3 linked regions of the Caenorhabditis elegans genome follow. The protein of the gene in region 3 purifies or fractionates together with the protein of the main gene of each other region. This does not show direct contact. Each region holds a gene or a part of one and is shown on either strand. Other genes may lie near its edges.

Region 1 (4,855 bases), on a different chromosome or scaffold from region 3:
AAAAAGAAATACGTTAATTGATATATTGATGTACTTCATAATGATTCTGCGCAATTCTTTTTTACTGGCAGAGTAATAAACTGCTTACTTTCAGCTAGTTACATTTAATGGAATAATGTTAATTTCTAGCACTAAAAAATGTAATTTTTCCTTTCGAATCATATACCTAGTAGCGAACCGCAGTCTACAATATAAATGAATTGGAACAACTGGAACAACACTATAAATCGGTCACTTTTTACTCCACTTCCATTTTTTTCACAGGGCAGCGAGAGAAGAAAGAAACAGTAAGAGAAAAGTGGATGCGCCAGTCTCTTTACAAACATGAAAATATTTACTGAAATCTTCTCGGGTCACAAAAAATGATGACTGAATGAAATTGTGTAGTGTGTGCGAGTGGTAACCATGACAAATAATGTTCTCTGGGCGACATTGATCGACAATGAAAAGAAACAATGTATTTCTCTAGGAAACATAAAAACTCGAGTAACTTGACTCTGGAGAAGAGACGAAACTTTGTAACTCTAGATTTAATCTATGGTTCTTGACTTTTAGTTGACCGACTAGGATATTCTGGAACACATTTTTTTTGGATTTTATCTGGAAGATGAATTCTTCGAAGACTTAGTCTATCAGAGAAAAAACTAATTTCGTTTTCAGAAAACAAATCAAAAATCACTGAACTTGAAAGTTTATCAATTTGATTAACGTCTGATCAGTTTACCAAATTAACAAGAAGACAAAGAAAAAGAAGAATGAAAACTGTTCTTTGCAACTCCTAAATAACTATGCATTTTCAACCATAAATTCTGCCAATCGGGTTTCATTTGGAAAACGGAGCACACGAATGGCCACATTTATTTGTGTCTCTGCCGATCATTTTTTTAGAAGGTGAAAAGTGCAAACAAAATATGAGGAGAAAAAAACGGAAAATGCTGACAAAACTTCGGAGGTGACAAAGAAAGAAACGGATAAAAAAGGTGAGAAAAGAAAGGGCAGACAAATTAAATGGACAGAAAGACAATCGGGAAAGAATGTTGCCAATTTGGGAATATAATTAATTTTCAAGTATTTTTTTAAAGAGAAATTGAATATTTTCTGTTAAATTCAAATATTTAGAATGCTACATTCTAGCCAGTCTATTGTGGAAATCATGATAAGATTGTCTGAAAGATAATGGATTTTTCCAAAATGCTATTATATTACGTGGGCGAGCGTCTCCTCTATAAATAAAGAGCAATGGGAAACAAAACATGTAAACTAAAATGAACACCAAACACGAAAAAACCTTCCTCTTCCCGTCCACTATATTGATATTTAGGATCTGGTGTGACCCACAAGTGGGTGGTGCCATTCGTGATAAGGAAAATCGGTCGAAAAAATTCATCAGCAAAATACGCGGAAACAGTGAACAGTGAGCACACGTTGTGAAAAAGGTGAGAAAAGCAATTTTTAAATTGAGATAATTTTTATATATGAAAGCTTCAACGGAAAAGATACAAAATCGAGCAAAATAAGAAATTAGAATTTATAGATTATTCTTCAGCGTCCAAATTGATCTGATCTCCGAATTTGGCGTACAAAACCTTCTTGATTTGCTCCATGTCCGCTGAGATTGCATCCAACTCGGAGGTTTTCTCAGACAAAACCTTCTCTGCTGTTGTCTTCTTTCCTTCCAAATGCTCATTCAGACTATCCTGAAAACCAATCACTACTTTCGTGTAAACCAAACGTTAATTCTCAATTCAAATTAAAAAAAAAACTGCTCACCCCATTGAAATGAACGAAGCAGCTTCCAATTCTGCATGGAATTGATGCTGAATCCTCATCATCGAGCAACAAAATTTCATCACTTGCTTCATTGATATTGTCAATGAGTGTTTTAGCTTCTTTAACGTCTGCCTGAAATTAAAGAAGAGAAACTTTAATGTAAAATTTAAAAAAAAACGTACTTTTAACTGGGTTTGTGTTTGGTATGACCGAGCGAATTTATTGAGAAGCGCTTGGTCTTCAGCAGAAACTTTCGTGTGTTCCGGCATTCTAAATTATTTTTAATTCAAAGATTTAATTAAAGAAACAACGAAGAAACAACATTAAAAGATATTAAACAGAAAATTCTGGAGAGAGAAACATAAAAATAAGAAAACTCAGCCACGGCCGCACGAAATTCTAGTCCATGTTGCGTGTAGTCCTCGTGAACAATTTCTTCCACGCGTTGTTTTATCCTAATTTGTTTTGTTTTTAAGTCACTATCAGTTCAAATTTAAGGCTGATAAAAAATGGCAGCAGCTAAAATTTCAGAAATTCCAACTCTCTTTGAAAAATGTAAGCTTCAGGCGTTTCATAATTCTAAAATAGTACACAATTTTCAGTCAAGGTTGCCAAAAACGTTCTGGGCCGTATCAGTGTCTGGGATGGAGATATTACTAAACTTTCCGTCGACGCAATTGTCAATGCAGCAAACAGTCGATTAGCTGGAGGTGGTGGCGTTGATGGTGCAATTCATCGTGCAGCTGGACGGAAGCAACTACAGGAAGAATGCCAGCAATACAACGGATGTGCTGTCGGAGATGCTGTCATTACCTCTGGATGCAATATTAATCACATCAAAAGTAAGTATTTATAGCATTGTTTGATCGTATTTTATTGGAATTTTCAGAAATAATCCACACAGTTGGTCCACAAGTATATGGAAATGTCACAGATGAACGGCGTGAAAATCTTGTTGCATGTTACAGAACATCACTAGATATTGCTATCGAGAACGGGATGAAGAGTATTGTAAGTGTTTCATCTGAAAAATAACTGCAAATATTATATATTTTCAGGCCTTCTGTTGCATTTCTACTGGTGTGTACGGTTATCCAAATGACGATGCCGCTAAAACCGTCACCAATTTCCTGACCGAGTATCTTGAAAAGAATGATACAATTGAACGGATTGTACTTGTTACATTCCTTGACATTGACAACGAGCATTACAATAAGTATTTCGGTGATTATGCTGCATCAAAGGATCAAAGTATCGCCTAAAACTTTCTATTGCACATTTACTGTACATGACTATTTTTATTTTATGTTGACTCCATAATCTCACTATCAGATCGGTTTTGATCCGTAATGTTTACATTGTTTCCGGTGTTGATTGCTTCATAAACATGTCACATTTCACCTATGATTATTTGTGTTTTTCTCTCATTTTCCGATTTTCGGTGATTCATATTTCAGTTCTCATTTTTAAATTTTTTCTCAATCTTTGTTTTTCAGCAGAATGCGCTCAGCAATTGCGGCGCCCATCTTGTTCTTACTAGTATCATTTTTCGTCCAGGAATGTGAATCGGTCGGATTTGCTCCAGAGCTCTATTGTGGATTAGAAAACTGTTATGATGGTGAGTCAAAACTTTCATGAAGATCTGAAAACGTTAAAACTATAAATGCATTCATATTTACAGTACTCGAAGTCAATCGTGAGGAATTCGATAAGCAGAAGCTAGCTAAAGCATATAGAGCTCTGGCTAGGAAGCATCATCCAGATAGAGTCAAGAATAAGGAAGAGAAGCTTCTCGCCGAAGAACGTTTCCGAGTAATTGCCACTGCTTATGAAACACTTAAGGATGATGAAGCAAAAACTAATTACGACTATTATCTCGATCATCCTGATCAAAGGTATGACGCTCTGAATATGAACACTTAAATATTCTTTATTTAAGATTCTACAATTACTATCAATATTATCGTCTTCGCGCCGCTCCAAAAGTAGATCTTCGAATTGTCATTGTTGGAACTATTCTTATCATTTCACTCTTCCAATTCCTCTCTGCAAAACACAAGTTCTCAGAAGCAATCGAATATGCAACCGGTGTTGGAAAATTCCGCAATATGGCAATTAAAGATGGAATTGATAAAGGCGTAGGTCGATTTTTAAGCTTGCACTGTAATTAATATCTAGCTTTCAGTTGCTGGAAATGGATCGGAATGGAAAATTAAAAAAGAACAAAGGAGTTGACAATGATGAAGTTATCAAGCAAATAATTATTGATAATCTTGATGTCACGTCAGTTATTCTTGAGATTTTTCGTAAAATAATTTGAGCTACATTTTAGGGGTGGCTACAAACGAGAATCCATCTACGATACTCTCGCATGGCACACAATTATTTTCCCATTAACGATATTCCGATACATTAAATGGACAGCACTTTGGTATTGGAGATTTGCAATTCAAAAGGAGGAATATGATGATGACGCCAAGCTTTATCTCATTAGAAAGTACATTGGAGTTTCACAAATGGAATTCGATCAGGTAAATACTTTTTTCTATCATCAAAAGTTAATAATTTAATTTTCAGAAGTACACTGATGAAGACATTGATGATCTTTTTGAACGAGAATGCTGGCTGAAACGAAACTGTGCAACGTGGAAAGCCGAACGAGACGCTGCGGAACAAGAAAAAATGGCTCAATCGGGTCGGTACAAAAGGTATAAGAGATATATGAAAAACGCGGGAACTATTTCGTTTGTCGATGAAGATTAAATATTTACTAAAAATTACTTATTGCATTTTATAACTCGTTCTTTCTAAATTATTATTCCTTTATGCAGCTGTTTTATCATCAAATTTTTATAGCATTTCATGTTTTCACTTAACTCGAATGTTTCTCCGAGTTTGCGAGCATAATCTACTTCTTTCTTACCAATATTGATGTTTTTTCTTCATTTTCAATCTTTTTTTACTGTGGGTGATAATTTATTCAATTGATAAAAATTGCTTTTTTTTTTTGGAATTTCAAAAATAAAAACCCATCGATGGATTATTCAATAATTTAACATGGACGAGAGGACAATTTTCAGTAAAA
Region 2 (5,538 bases), on a different chromosome or scaffold from region 3:
CTTTCTTTTTTCCATAAAAATTATAAAAAATTTCCCGCTTTAATTTTCCTAGTTTTTTTCAGGGAAAATTTCGATGGAAAATTAGGAAATTTTCGATTTTCCTTTAAAAACAAAAGTAAAAGAAAAATCGAGAATTATCCGATTTTTCTAGTTTTTTGAAGGCGAATTCGAACACTTCCTATTTTTTCTAGCTTTTTTTCATTGAAAACCAAAAATTTCCCGATTCCTTACCTAAAATATCGCTTCCTTCGAGAATTTTTGGAATACAAGCCGCCTGAACTGGCGTCGCCGTCTTAATTTGCATAGTTTGAAGCTGTTGAGTGATCCAGGAGCACACGCCGAGTTGGGAGAATTTCTTAGTTGTCATGTTGTCTTCGGAGATTTGAATGGGCTTTGGGGTGTCATCTGATGACTTGAATTCATCGCCTTCTTCTCCTTCAGATTCTTCTTCATCTTCATCTGAAGCTTCATCCTCCTCATCCTCTACATCTTCGCCGTCTTCAAATTCCTCAAATTCTTCATTTTTCACGGATTTTGAGCTCGTAGATGGCTTTTCCTGCTCTTCATCCATCTCCAAATCATCATCGTCGTCCGATAGAATTGCATCGCACACTTTTGACATGGTTTTTGGCTGAAATTTCAGATTTTTTGATTTTTTGTTGAAAAATCAAAAAAAAAATTCATCGTTTCTTGATTATTCGGTATTTTTTGAAATTTTATTGGAAAATTTCCATAATTTCCAATTAATTTTCCGACTTTTTTGAAAGAATTTCATTTTTTCCATAATTTCTTCTTTTTTCTCGATTTTTTGTTCGAAAAATCGATATTTTTTTCATTTTTCTAAAAAAATTGAGAAAGTTCGAATTTTTAAAACTTTTTTTGTTGAGTTTTTTGACTAAATTTATTGATTTTTCTTCACTTTTTGCAGTTTTTTATAATTTGAAACATGGTTTCCCATTTTTCCAGACATTTTTTCTCAAAAAACTGTAAAAGTACCCTAAAAATCGATAGTTTAACATTAAATTATACTTTTTATGGGAAAAAATTTGAAAAAAAAAACCATTTTTTAAGTTAGTAATCAATCAAAAAATGACAAACTTGAAAAATAGTTTTTTTTTCAATTTTTTTCGCAAAAAATATGATTGAATGTTAAATTATCGGTTTTAGGCTACTTTTTCAGTTTTTTTCGAAAAAAAATTCTGAAAATGTGAAAACGATGAAAAAATCGATGAATTTTGTTGAATAACGGGGAAAATATCGAAATTTGGAAAAAAAACTTATTAAACCAAAAAATGTTTTTTTTTTCAAAAAAAAAAAGATAAAATTGGATTTCAAAAACCATAATAAAGCAGTTAAAAATCGAAAAAAAATTCAAATTCAATTTATGCAAGACTTAAGTTCTTTTAACGGGAGCATATAGAAAAAAGGCAACAAACAGAGTAAGAAAAAACGTATGAAAACATGAAAAAGCAGTAGGAAATCGAGAAAAAAATTAAAGCAGGGGAAATTTAAGCTTTTGGCAATTGTCCAAGAGCTTCAGCTTTTCTCAGCTCGGCAGATTCTTTCTCAGTGAGCAGACGAATGTTGTGTGTAGTTTTGTGAGTGTTCAGCTCTTTTCCCTTTTCGACGAGCTGATCGTTGAGCTGCTTCGAGACGATTGTCAACTGCAAAATTTTATTATTTTCGGTAATTCTGGTCAGTTGCACCATGTTTTTCTGCTGAAAATTTGTGACAAAATATAGAAAATCACTCGATTTCTCTTTAAATTACACTATTTTCAATCGAAATATCCAAGATAGAGCTCAAAAATTGCCTGAAAGTTGAACAAAATTCAACTTTCAGACCATTTTTGACCGTTTTCTCAAATATTTTCGTTGAAATTACTGTTATTTTAAGATTAAACCGTTAATTTTCCATGTTTTGACACTGATTTTCAATGAATTTTCGCATTAAAAATGGCAAAATGGCTGTGAAATCATGGTCTTGTGTCGATTTACGCAGCTCGTGTACTCCACGAGGAGAAGTCTGTTTTTTTTTTCAATTTTTTGTATTTAACCATATTAAAATCGTATTTTTACAGTATTTCCCAGCGCAAATTGGGGGTTTCGCTATAAAAAAAACGGAAAATCTGGTTTTTTTTTTCAATTTTTAGGTGTAAAAACGCGAAATTTTGCGCTAAAACTACGATGTCTGATCTCGACACGACATTTGTTTCGAATACATGACGCTGCGCACCTTTAAAGAGTACCCGAATTTGCAAAGTTTCCATCGATTTGTTTATATTTTTTCATTCGATTTGTTAAAATTGAAGTGTTTTATCGAAAAACTACGGAAAATCAATATAAATTCCACAAATTTCAAATTACAGTACTCCTTGAAGGCGCATAGCTTCCAGATACCGTATTTTTGGTGCAACAAATCGGAAAATTCAGTGTTTCAGATGAAAAAATATTTTTTTTTGCTTCAAAAAACTGTCAATTTTCATCGGAAATACTGTAAATCCCCAATTTAAAACGCGTTAAATATAGAAAAAAGGTCGAAAATCAGGTATTTCAGCCGGAATCTGTAAAATCTTCTCCACGAGGAGTACACAAACTCCGTAAATCGACACATGACTGTTTCCTCCGCCTTTTCTTCTATTTTTCCCGACTTTCAAATCCTCACATTAGCGATATTATTCTGCAAATCCGGAATAACATCCTTGACAGTATACTCGACAAGTGTATCACTAATCAAACGGAAGCATTTCTGATCCGGTTCAAGATCCTTGATCACTTCGAGAACACGTCCAAATTCACGTCGTTCCTCTTCGATTCGAGTCACTTCGGCGGCGATATCCTGTTGTTGATCACGTAGAGCCTTGAACTTTTCGACGACTTTTCGTTGCTCTTCTTGCTCGGCTGGAGTGGCGGCGGCGGTTTGAGCGGCCGACATCTGGAAGTTGTGGATTTTTTGAAAATAATTGTTTTAATGGTAGAGAGCCAGTTTTTTTTTGGTTTTTTTTGCCAAAACTGACCAAAAAAAATTTTTATAATTGAAAAAAAAAGATTTTTCAAAATATTTTGCAAAAAAACTAGTGAAAGCCGATTTATTTTTGAATTTCTCACCGATTTTCTACATTTTTGTATTTTCCGGCTTTTTTTATCGGTTTTTCATTGTCACATTTTCAGTCATTTTTCAGCAAAAAAAGTTGAAAACTCTAAAATTAGCCAAAAATCGATAGTTTTTGTGAAAAAAAAAGTCTAAAATTATCGATTTTTAGGGTAATTTTAGAGTTTTAACGCATTTTTTTAAGGGTTTTGAAGTTTTTTTTTTGCGGAAAAATGACAAAAAAACACAAAAAATGGATTATTTTAGGCGAGAATTCAAAAAAAAATCCGCGTTTTTTCCAATTTTTAAACCTTTTTTTTCCAAATAGATATTTGAAGGCGCTGGGAAGTTCCCAGTGGGAACCTCTCAAAATTAATAAAATAATAAAAAATAGCCGGAAAACACAAAAATGGCTGAAAAAGGATTTTTTTCTAACTTTTTGTTGCAAAAATTTCAAAAAATCAAATATAAAAAGGCACGGGGAACCTTTGAAAAATCGATAAAAATATCAAAAATAATAGGGGAAATATTGTTTTATGGTATATAAAAATTACAAAAAAAGGGAAGACAGACTGGGAAAAAATTGGAAAAAAATGAGAATATAAATAAAACAAGGAGTATCATTTTAACATTAAAAAAATCAAATAAAATAAATAAATAAATTTTAGCAGCACATTCTGCAATTTTCAAGATTTTTCAAGACTCCATCGCTTCCCCATCGGCACCATTCTGATCCATCTGACGATTCCATCCCTTTTCCGGAACCTTTCCCGATGCCAGAATCGACTGAAGATAGTTGACTTCACTGAGTGACTTGGCATTCTTGATCGCTTCCTTGATCTTCTCCCGATCTTCATCAGTAAGCCGAGCACCTCCACCCGAACTATTCTCATTTGGTTCAATTTCTGATGGATCTTCTGTATGAACACTCTTCTGAATCGCATCTCTCGCCTTCTTTCCACTTTTTCCTTTGAACATCTTCTTCGCAGCTTCACGTTCTGTCAGTCTGACTCGATTGAAGTCAATCACTCGAACCGTCGGCAGCTTGTAGATCATATACATCCGATAATTGTCCTTGTGAGTTATCGGATTTCCGATAAATGTCACGTACTCGAGCTTCTTGCATTCTGCCAGTGGCTCAATGTCTCCGAGCTCGCAAATGTTGTTGTTGGTCAGTGCAAGAGTTTTGAGATTTGGAAGTTTTGTGGCAATGTCGGGTGCGATATAGCTGAAAATATGGGGTAAATTGGTGGGAATGGAGCTCGAAAATGTGGGAAAAAAGCAGTTTTGCAATGAAAAATGGAGGGTTTTTAATTTTTTTTCAGGAAATAGTAACCATAAAATTTAAATTTTTGAAGAATAAATTAGAGAAAGTATTTTAAAAATTTGAAAATGACCAAAATTTTAGGATATTTTCTGAAAAATCGATTTTTTCCCCTACTTTCCGAAAAAAACTTCGATTTTTCGAAAAATGGCTTAAAATTTTTCGAACTTTTTCAGGAAAAAAATTATATTTTTCCTATGTTCTTTCATAAAAAACTGATTTTTTCGTTTTTTTTTTTTGGAAAAAATAGCGAAATCCGGCTAAATCTGAATTTTTCGCCAACTTGCCGAAAAAAAAATTTGGAAATTTCATGAAATTTCAGAGCAAAGAAACGTTTTTTTTTCAATTTTTTAAATTCAATTTAGGGAAGTTTGTCAGAATTTTCCGGTTTAAAATTTTTTAAAACCCTATTTCAAGCTGAAATCACCGAATTCTGCCAGGAAACCCCATTTTTCGGTACTTTTCAGTCGAAAATAACCAAAGTTGGGTACAAATCGACTGGAAAAGCACTAAAACACGGATAAATTGGCAAAATTGGAATTTTTAGCTAAAATTTGGGCTTTTCCAGCAAAATATGGTGCAAAATTCTATATTTTTAGCTAAATTTAGCCACTTTTCGCTCGTTTTTCGGAAAACTACGCACTTGATTCGATTATTATGAAGATACAGCGTATTCAAACGAGAAAACGTCGGAAAATTGTCCAATTTCCTGATATCGTTGTCAGTCAGATCGATGACATCGAATTGATCCCTCGTCACTCCCATATTCTCGATTACGGGGATTTTTTGGCCGCGCAAGTTGATCTCCCGCATATTGACCGAATTGACGAATTGTGGACGCTCGGCGAACAGCTCAGTCGTGAGACGGACCATTTTTCGCTGGAATTAGGGGGTTTTCAATGTAAAAAATAACAAAAAAACATAGAAGATAGACAAAAAGTCGGCTGCAAACCGGTTAAACATCAAGAAAACTTGAAAAAAATATATATGAAAATTACAGAAAAAAAATACATTTTACATAATATATCACACGAAATATTTAACAGTTGGACTATATTTTACATGAGATCAAATTATTCCACAAAATAGTCTATTTAACCATGTTTTTCAGCATTATTCACGAA
Region 3 (5,949 bases):
TATTTGCCGAATAAATTGTTCTTTCAGAGCCTCCGTCGTTCACAACTTCAAGGACATCATCATAACAGCACCTGGATCCACAGTTAAATTGAAAGCTGTAGGTGGATATGTGCTCAACTATTGCTCGGAGCTCAGCAGCTACCTTCAGTACTTCCCGATGTTGGTGGAAATCGATCAGGATCTCAAGAGCTTTGAGTGTCTGGCACATTCCTCGGAAAACCTGAATAAATTGGATGCTCTTAGTGTTTATAACTATTATGATACGGGCAGACAAGCAACCATCATGTCAGTTAACGGAAGCAATTTAAGCGTGAAGAGCAGTCATGCGAGAGATTGGCTCGGTGCTCCTTTGATGAGGGGATCAGTTGTGATCGGAATCTCAATTGGACGTGAGTTGTTGAGAAGATCTTACGAGCAGCTTAAATTTCTTTTAGGATCACCTACAGGAGACTCGGCATGGTTCCTGAAGCCGGACAACTATGCGCTTTGTGGATTGGCTGGAATTTGTGAAGGCCCGGCTCAAACTTCCACAGCTCCTTCAACTAGATCCTCTAAACTTCCCACCTCATCGGTTTGGAAGGCAACAACTACACCTTCTGATCTTCCAACCAAGCCTTCAAGAACCCGATCATTGACCTCAACGAGTACTACTACTGCAAAGCTTCCAACAACAACATCCACCACCTTCGCAGCTCCACAAGCTTCCACGGAACCATCGGAGGCAACAGAAGCTTTAGCAACGGCTACACCTGCTGATCTTCCAACCAAACCTTCGGGGAGAGAAATTACTACGATCACAGGCACTCGAAAATTGAGCTCAACGAGTACTACAAAGCTTCCAAAAACAGCATCCAAAACATCCACAGCTCGACTAGCTTCCACGGAACACTCGGAAGCCGCAGGAGCTCCAGCAACGGCTACACCTTTTGATCTTCCAACCAAGCCTTCAACAAGTACTACAAAGCTTCCATCAACGGCTTCCACCACCTCCGCAGCTCCACTAGCTTTCACGGAACCCTCGGAGGTTGCAGAAGCTCCAGCTAATCCAGCGGATCATGAAGAAACTGAAGTCCTTCCATTGGCAAGTGGAGCCTCGAATTGGAACTTAACGTTTTGGATTTTGTGTTTTTATGGAATAAAGTACTTTTAGTTGGGATTTTTTTGTGCTCCGAGAGCTTGGAAGTCTGCATCTAATGGGGATTCTGATCTTCCGGGAGAATCCATACACATGGTGTCAGAGTGTCCCATATCGGCTTGATCTACGTAGATTTACAAAAAACGCGGGAGAAGAGACGCAAAGTTCTCAACTGATTTCGCATGATTAAGAACGTGCTGACGTCACATTTTTTTTGCAAAAAAATCCCGCATTTTTTGTAGATCAAACCGTAATGGGACAGCCTGGCACCATGTGTCCGTTTGGTTACAGGGGCGGTAAGGCTTAGTGGCCTACAAATCTGAAGTTAGGCCATGATTTTTTTAATCGAAAAAACACTGAATTCCTATTCAACTCAACTTGCGAAAACTCTATGCGCCGTTGAACTTCTTTGCAAAAGTATTGATAATAGGTCAGCGGCTACTTTCACGCCAATTCGAAATTTCGAAATATTTCGCAATACCTATGTACCTTTAAACCTTTTTCGCGTTGAGACCTACTCCGACAATTTCCAGAACCATGCTCTCCAATTTTGATGTATTTTTTTCAGAAACAGAAGGACAAAAAATAGTTGTATATTAAAAGCGAACCCCTACGCGTCGTAAATCGACACCGGCCGTGGCCGAGATAAAATGGCCTAGTTCAGCCAAATCTTAGATTTAAAAATATGAAAGCTAGTCCTCGAAACGTTTTTTATTAAAAAAAATTTAACTTTCGGGAAAAAACAAAAAAATAGTACGTTTTTCAAATTGTTTCGGATTTGATTGATTGAAAAAAACCTTTTTGGAGTAAAAAAAATTTCAGATTAAAAACTAAAAATTTTCTAATCACATCACCTGTCACACACGTTGGAAAAAATGATTTATTGAAAATTTTCTGGCCTAAAATAGCTCTGAGAACTGGAAATTTTCTAAAGAACCGAAAAATTAGTAACTACGAAATTCCAGCTCAATTTCAGCAAAAACGGAGCAGCAACGGGGGGCTAAAATAGAAGTTTGACGTATTTCGGCAGCCATCCGGCACCAGGCGGAATATTTAAGTGAGAAGGGTGGAGTTACTCGTCATTTACCCCCGGAAGTTTCTAATAGCAGCTGAAAATACTTTTTTTGGATATTAAACTATTTTTTCGAAAACTTGGGTTATTCTCAGAATGAATATCAAAATCATATTAAGCTCGTTGAGAGCTTTGAAATGACACCCATATTGACATGTTTTGGGTCTCGCTGCGAAAAAAAATTAAAGGCGCATAAGGGTTTTTTTTTGAAAATTTCAAAGTATGGCTTGATTATACTTTTTGAAAGTTCTCAGCGGGGAGAACTCTGAATTGAGTAATGCTGAAAATTTTATTCATGGCCTAACTTTTGAAATTCTAGGCCATATAAGAAAAATCACATTTTTAAGGGTTTTAGACCTGATTTTTAAAGTTTCTTTTTTGAGAAATAAAAGCAATTTTAGAAAATTTTCAAATATTCCACAAAAAAACGTACAAAAGCAAAAATCTCCATCCTAAACGACAGAAAATTGGCGAAAAAATGAGAATTTTGGAAAAGATACGGCTCGGTTTCCGGAAATCTGCACACAATACCCATCGATACAGTCTTTGTAGTGGCTTTGGCGGATAGAAACTTCACAAAGATGTGCTCAAAAGCTCAAAAGCTTTCCCGCGGGCCACTTGAAGCTTCCGCTCATCCACCGTATCCGATTTCGTTTTTTTCCACCGCAACCGATTTGTGTGATGGACGCAGAGTTTGGTTAATGATATTTTTAATTTGAAATTTATCTTTTTTTTAGAAAAAAAATTGAATTTTCAGGGATTTTCAGCTACTTCCTGCGATTTTCCATTAAAAATCTCTGCGTCTCAATGTCTCCCCGCACTCTCTCGCTGGTTCTCGTCGAGAAACGCGCCAAGGCGAGTGCTGGCGCACTTACTGGGATCGAAAAACGCGTCAACTGGAATTTTCTTTTTCCCCGGAATTTCTACGCTCAATTTTTACCGATTTTCCTCGAATTTTTTGCGTTTTTTCGCAAATTTTCATTGAAAAATCATGTCGGACACAGCGGACAGTCTATCAGCACGTGGAATCCCAAAAAGCGAGCTCATTGTAAGTCGGAAAATTTAAAAAATTGAAAATCTCTAAAAACTCGAGAAAAAATCCAGTAAACCAGTATTTTCCATTGAATTTTGGAAGAAGTCTCAAGAATTTCCTCAAAAAACTAAGTTTTCCCTCAAAACTGAAAAATTCGGGAAAAAAATGTCAAATCCTATTTTTCAAACAAAAATTGGAGTTTGTTATGGAAATTTTCTGGAATTTTAGTGAAAAATCTTTAAAAAATATTAGAAAATTCACAAATTCCTCTCTGAACCCCATTTTTTTTCAGGAAGACGTCGAGTCATGGCTCACAAAGGAGAAGCTTTCGATCGAGGAAGCCGAAGTTGTGCTCCGTGAGAAATACGGAAAGTACAAATACGTCGAATCATCGATGCTCGCTCAAAAAGTACGAATGAGCGAAAAAATCCCGGAATTCGAGAACAGTTTGAGCATTATCGACACATTAATCGCGAAAAGAGCCGCCGATGAGTCGTTCGAGACGACTTTCCTGCTCTCCGATGATGTCTACACAAAAGCCACTGTTCAGAAGCCCGAGAAGGTAGAAAAAACGCTGAAAATTCAAGAAAAATAGCTGGAAATCGATATTTTCAAGGAAAAATCGCCTAAAATCAAGTTCCCACAATTTTTTCCTCGAAAATTCACAAAAAATGTGATTTTTCAACCAATTTTAACACAAAAATGCCAGAAAACCCCATTTTTAAGGAAATTGGCACTTGAAAACCGCAAAAATTTGAATTTTTGACTTTAATTTTTTTTTTCCCAAGAAAATACCTAAAAATCCTCATTTTAAGCCAATTTCAGCATTAAAAAAGGCTGAATTTTAGAATTTTTAGTCAACTTGCACAGGGAAACTTCACAATATTTTTTTCTAGCTATTTTTCAAAAAAAAAATCAATTTTTGATGCGAAAAACTTCAAAAAACCAACTTTCAGCAATTTTCGGCAATTTTTATCGAAAAAACTCAAAATTTCGTATTTTAAAAAGCAATTTCCTCCCAAAAACCCAGAATTATAATTTTTTAGCAATTTTTCCCGGAAAAACATTAAAAATTCTGATTTTCAGCCCTAAAAATGGCTCAATAATTCAATTTTCAGAAAAACCCTCTAAAATTCCCGAAATTTCCAGGTATCAATCTGGCTTGGAGCCAACGTAATGGTCGAATATGACCTTGAAAATGCTCGAAAACTGCTCGACAAAAACCGTGGCTCCGTTCAAAAAGTGGTCGACGAGCTGACAAACGAATTGTCATATATTAAGGATCAAATCACCACAACCGAAGTCAACATGTCCCATATTGTCAATTTTGGAGTTAATAAACGTCGTGCCGCTCTCGCTGTCAATAATGGAGCGAAATAATTGATCAAAATTACACAATTTTCCCCGTTTTTCGCCCGAAAAATCTCTTGAAATCCCCTTTAAAATCCCATTTTTTGATTGTTTCTGCTGAATTTTTGTTGAATTTTCCGTATTTTTGTCCCGCCACATCCCCCCGATTTGCTTTTAAATTTTGCTATAATTTTTCGCCAATTTTTCATAAAATTCAAAAATCCAAAAAAGTGCAGAAATTTTGAAAACAAAAATCGATTTTCCCATATTATTTGACTAAAATTGGATATTTTTCACTATTTTTCAAAAGATTTTCTCCAAAAATCGTGATTTTTTCCCGTTTTTAGCTTGAAATTTGCAATTTTTCTCACGAAATTCAAAAATTCAAAAAATTTAACAGCAACAAAAATTTAAAAAATCAACAATCAAATTAAAAAAATAAATTATTCGGCGACCGGGAGCATCGTGGCATGAGTCAGGTACCCAGTGTGTGTTGGCTGAGAATATGGATAGACGATTGCAATTGTGATACGTGGAATGGCGGAGCTGCTGAAAATTTGCACAATTTTAGCTCGATGGCCTGGATTTTCACTCCGGGGTTCGAGTCCCCACTGTGGTCGAAATATTTTTATTGGTTCTTTTTCAATTTTTTTAGGGTAAACCAAGGGTCCTGAGCTCGAAAATCAACATCTCAGCAGCCAGAAATCAATGGAAAATGCCCAAACCTTTGCTCAACGATTGTTCCATCGACATTTCTCTTCCGTTCCTTCGGATAAGCATCACCGAGCTCTTCAAACTCTTCAAGCGTCTGCCGGTGTTGACTGACGATCTTCTTCTGCTCGGGAACGAGCTCAATCGTCTCGATGCTCACGAAACCGGCGGCCGCCATGGCTAGGCAGGCACGTTGGACTTGTTCCAGGCACGGACTGTAAGAAAAATCGGGGGTTTGGAGCAAAAATTGGGGAAATTGGCTGAAAACGAGGGTTTCGGGTTCAATTTTTGCAGGGAGTCGCCGGAAAATGTAAAATTTTTCGGTTTTTTCTGAGATAAACGAAAAAGTAAAAAAAAACAATTTTTTTGAATTAAAATTTTATGAAAATTGCCAAAATTTCCAGTTTTTTTCACAAAATCAAAATTTTTCGTTTTTTTCTGTTTTCTTGCAGAAAATTGGAAATTAACAAAAATGACCAAAATGTTCAGTTTTTTACAAAAAAATTCAAAAAAATTTTTTTAAGCACCTCGAAAAATCGAAATTTTTGAATTTTCGATATTCCAAAAAAAACTTTTGTTTCCCTTTTCTATTTATTGTTACGAACAAAATTTGATAAAAGTTTGAAATTTGTGTTAATTTTCCAATTT

What was found. Proteins that work in one complex are often made in the same cells at the same time.
Region 1: the proteins of pfd-3 (region 3) and pfd-4 fractionate together in Caenorhabditis elegans (co-fractionation; one large-scale study listed by BioGRID). This does not show direct contact.
Region 2: the proteins of pfd-3 (region 3) and pfd-2 fractionate together in Caenorhabditis elegans (co-fractionation; one large-scale study listed by BioGRID). This does not show direct contact.

The regions. Positions count from the first base shown.
Region 1 is NC_003282.8:11,312,392-11,317,246, reverse strand, and holds pfd-4 (putative prefoldin subunit 4), read right to left. Parts: upstream 2,041-4,855; 5' UTR 2,040-2,040; coding exon 1,953-2,039; intron 1,903-1,952; coding exon 1,771-1,902; intron 1,698-1,770; coding exon 1,536-1,697; 3' UTR 1,370-1,535; downstream 1-1,369. Other genes in the region: B0035.3 (Macro domain-containing protein), read left to right, coding at 2,280-2,325, 2,373-2,612, 2,660-2,781, 2,829-3,032; DnaJ homolog dnj-2, read left to right, coding at 3,271-3,388, 3,452-3,665, 3,710-3,908, 3,956-4,053, 4,103-4,301, 4,348-4,533. UniProt on the Caenorhabditis elegans protein: Binds specifically to cytosolic chaperonin (c-CPN) and transfers target proteins to it. Binds to nascent polypeptide chain and promotes folding in an environment in which there are many competing pathways for nonnative proteins.
Region 2 is NC_003280.10:4,324,116-4,329,653, reverse strand, and holds pfd-2 (Prefoldin subunit 2), read right to left. Parts: upstream 2,935-5,538; coding exon 2,665-2,934; intron 1,665-2,664; coding exon 1,509-1,664; 3' UTR 1,370-1,508; downstream 1-1,369. Other genes in the region: H20J04.4 (RNA helicase), read right to left, coding at 232-622; mog-2 (putative U2 small nuclear ribonucleoprotein A'), read right to left, coding at 3,787-4,318, 5,058-5,287. UniProt on the Caenorhabditis elegans protein: Binds specifically to cytosolic chaperonin (c-CPN) and transfers target proteins to it. Binds to nascent polypeptide chain and promotes folding in an environment in which there are many competing pathways for nonnative proteins.
Region 3 is NC_003279.8:12,725,057-12,731,005, forward strand, and holds pfd-3 (putative prefoldin subunit 3), read left to right. Parts: upstream 1-3,080; 5' UTR 3,081-3,198; coding exon 3,199-3,255; intron 3,256-3,532; coding exon 3,533-3,802; intron 3,803-4,389; coding exon 4,390-4,620; 3' UTR 4,621-4,842; downstream 4,843-5,949. Other genes in the region: trm-61A (tRNA (adenine(58)-N(1))-methyltransferase catalytic subunit TRMT61A), read right to left, coding at 5,034-5,139, 5,316-5,516. UniProt on the Caenorhabditis elegans protein: Binds specifically to cytosolic chaperonin (c-CPN) and transfers target proteins to it. Binds to nascent polypeptide chain and promotes folding in an environment in which there are many competing pathways for nonnative proteins.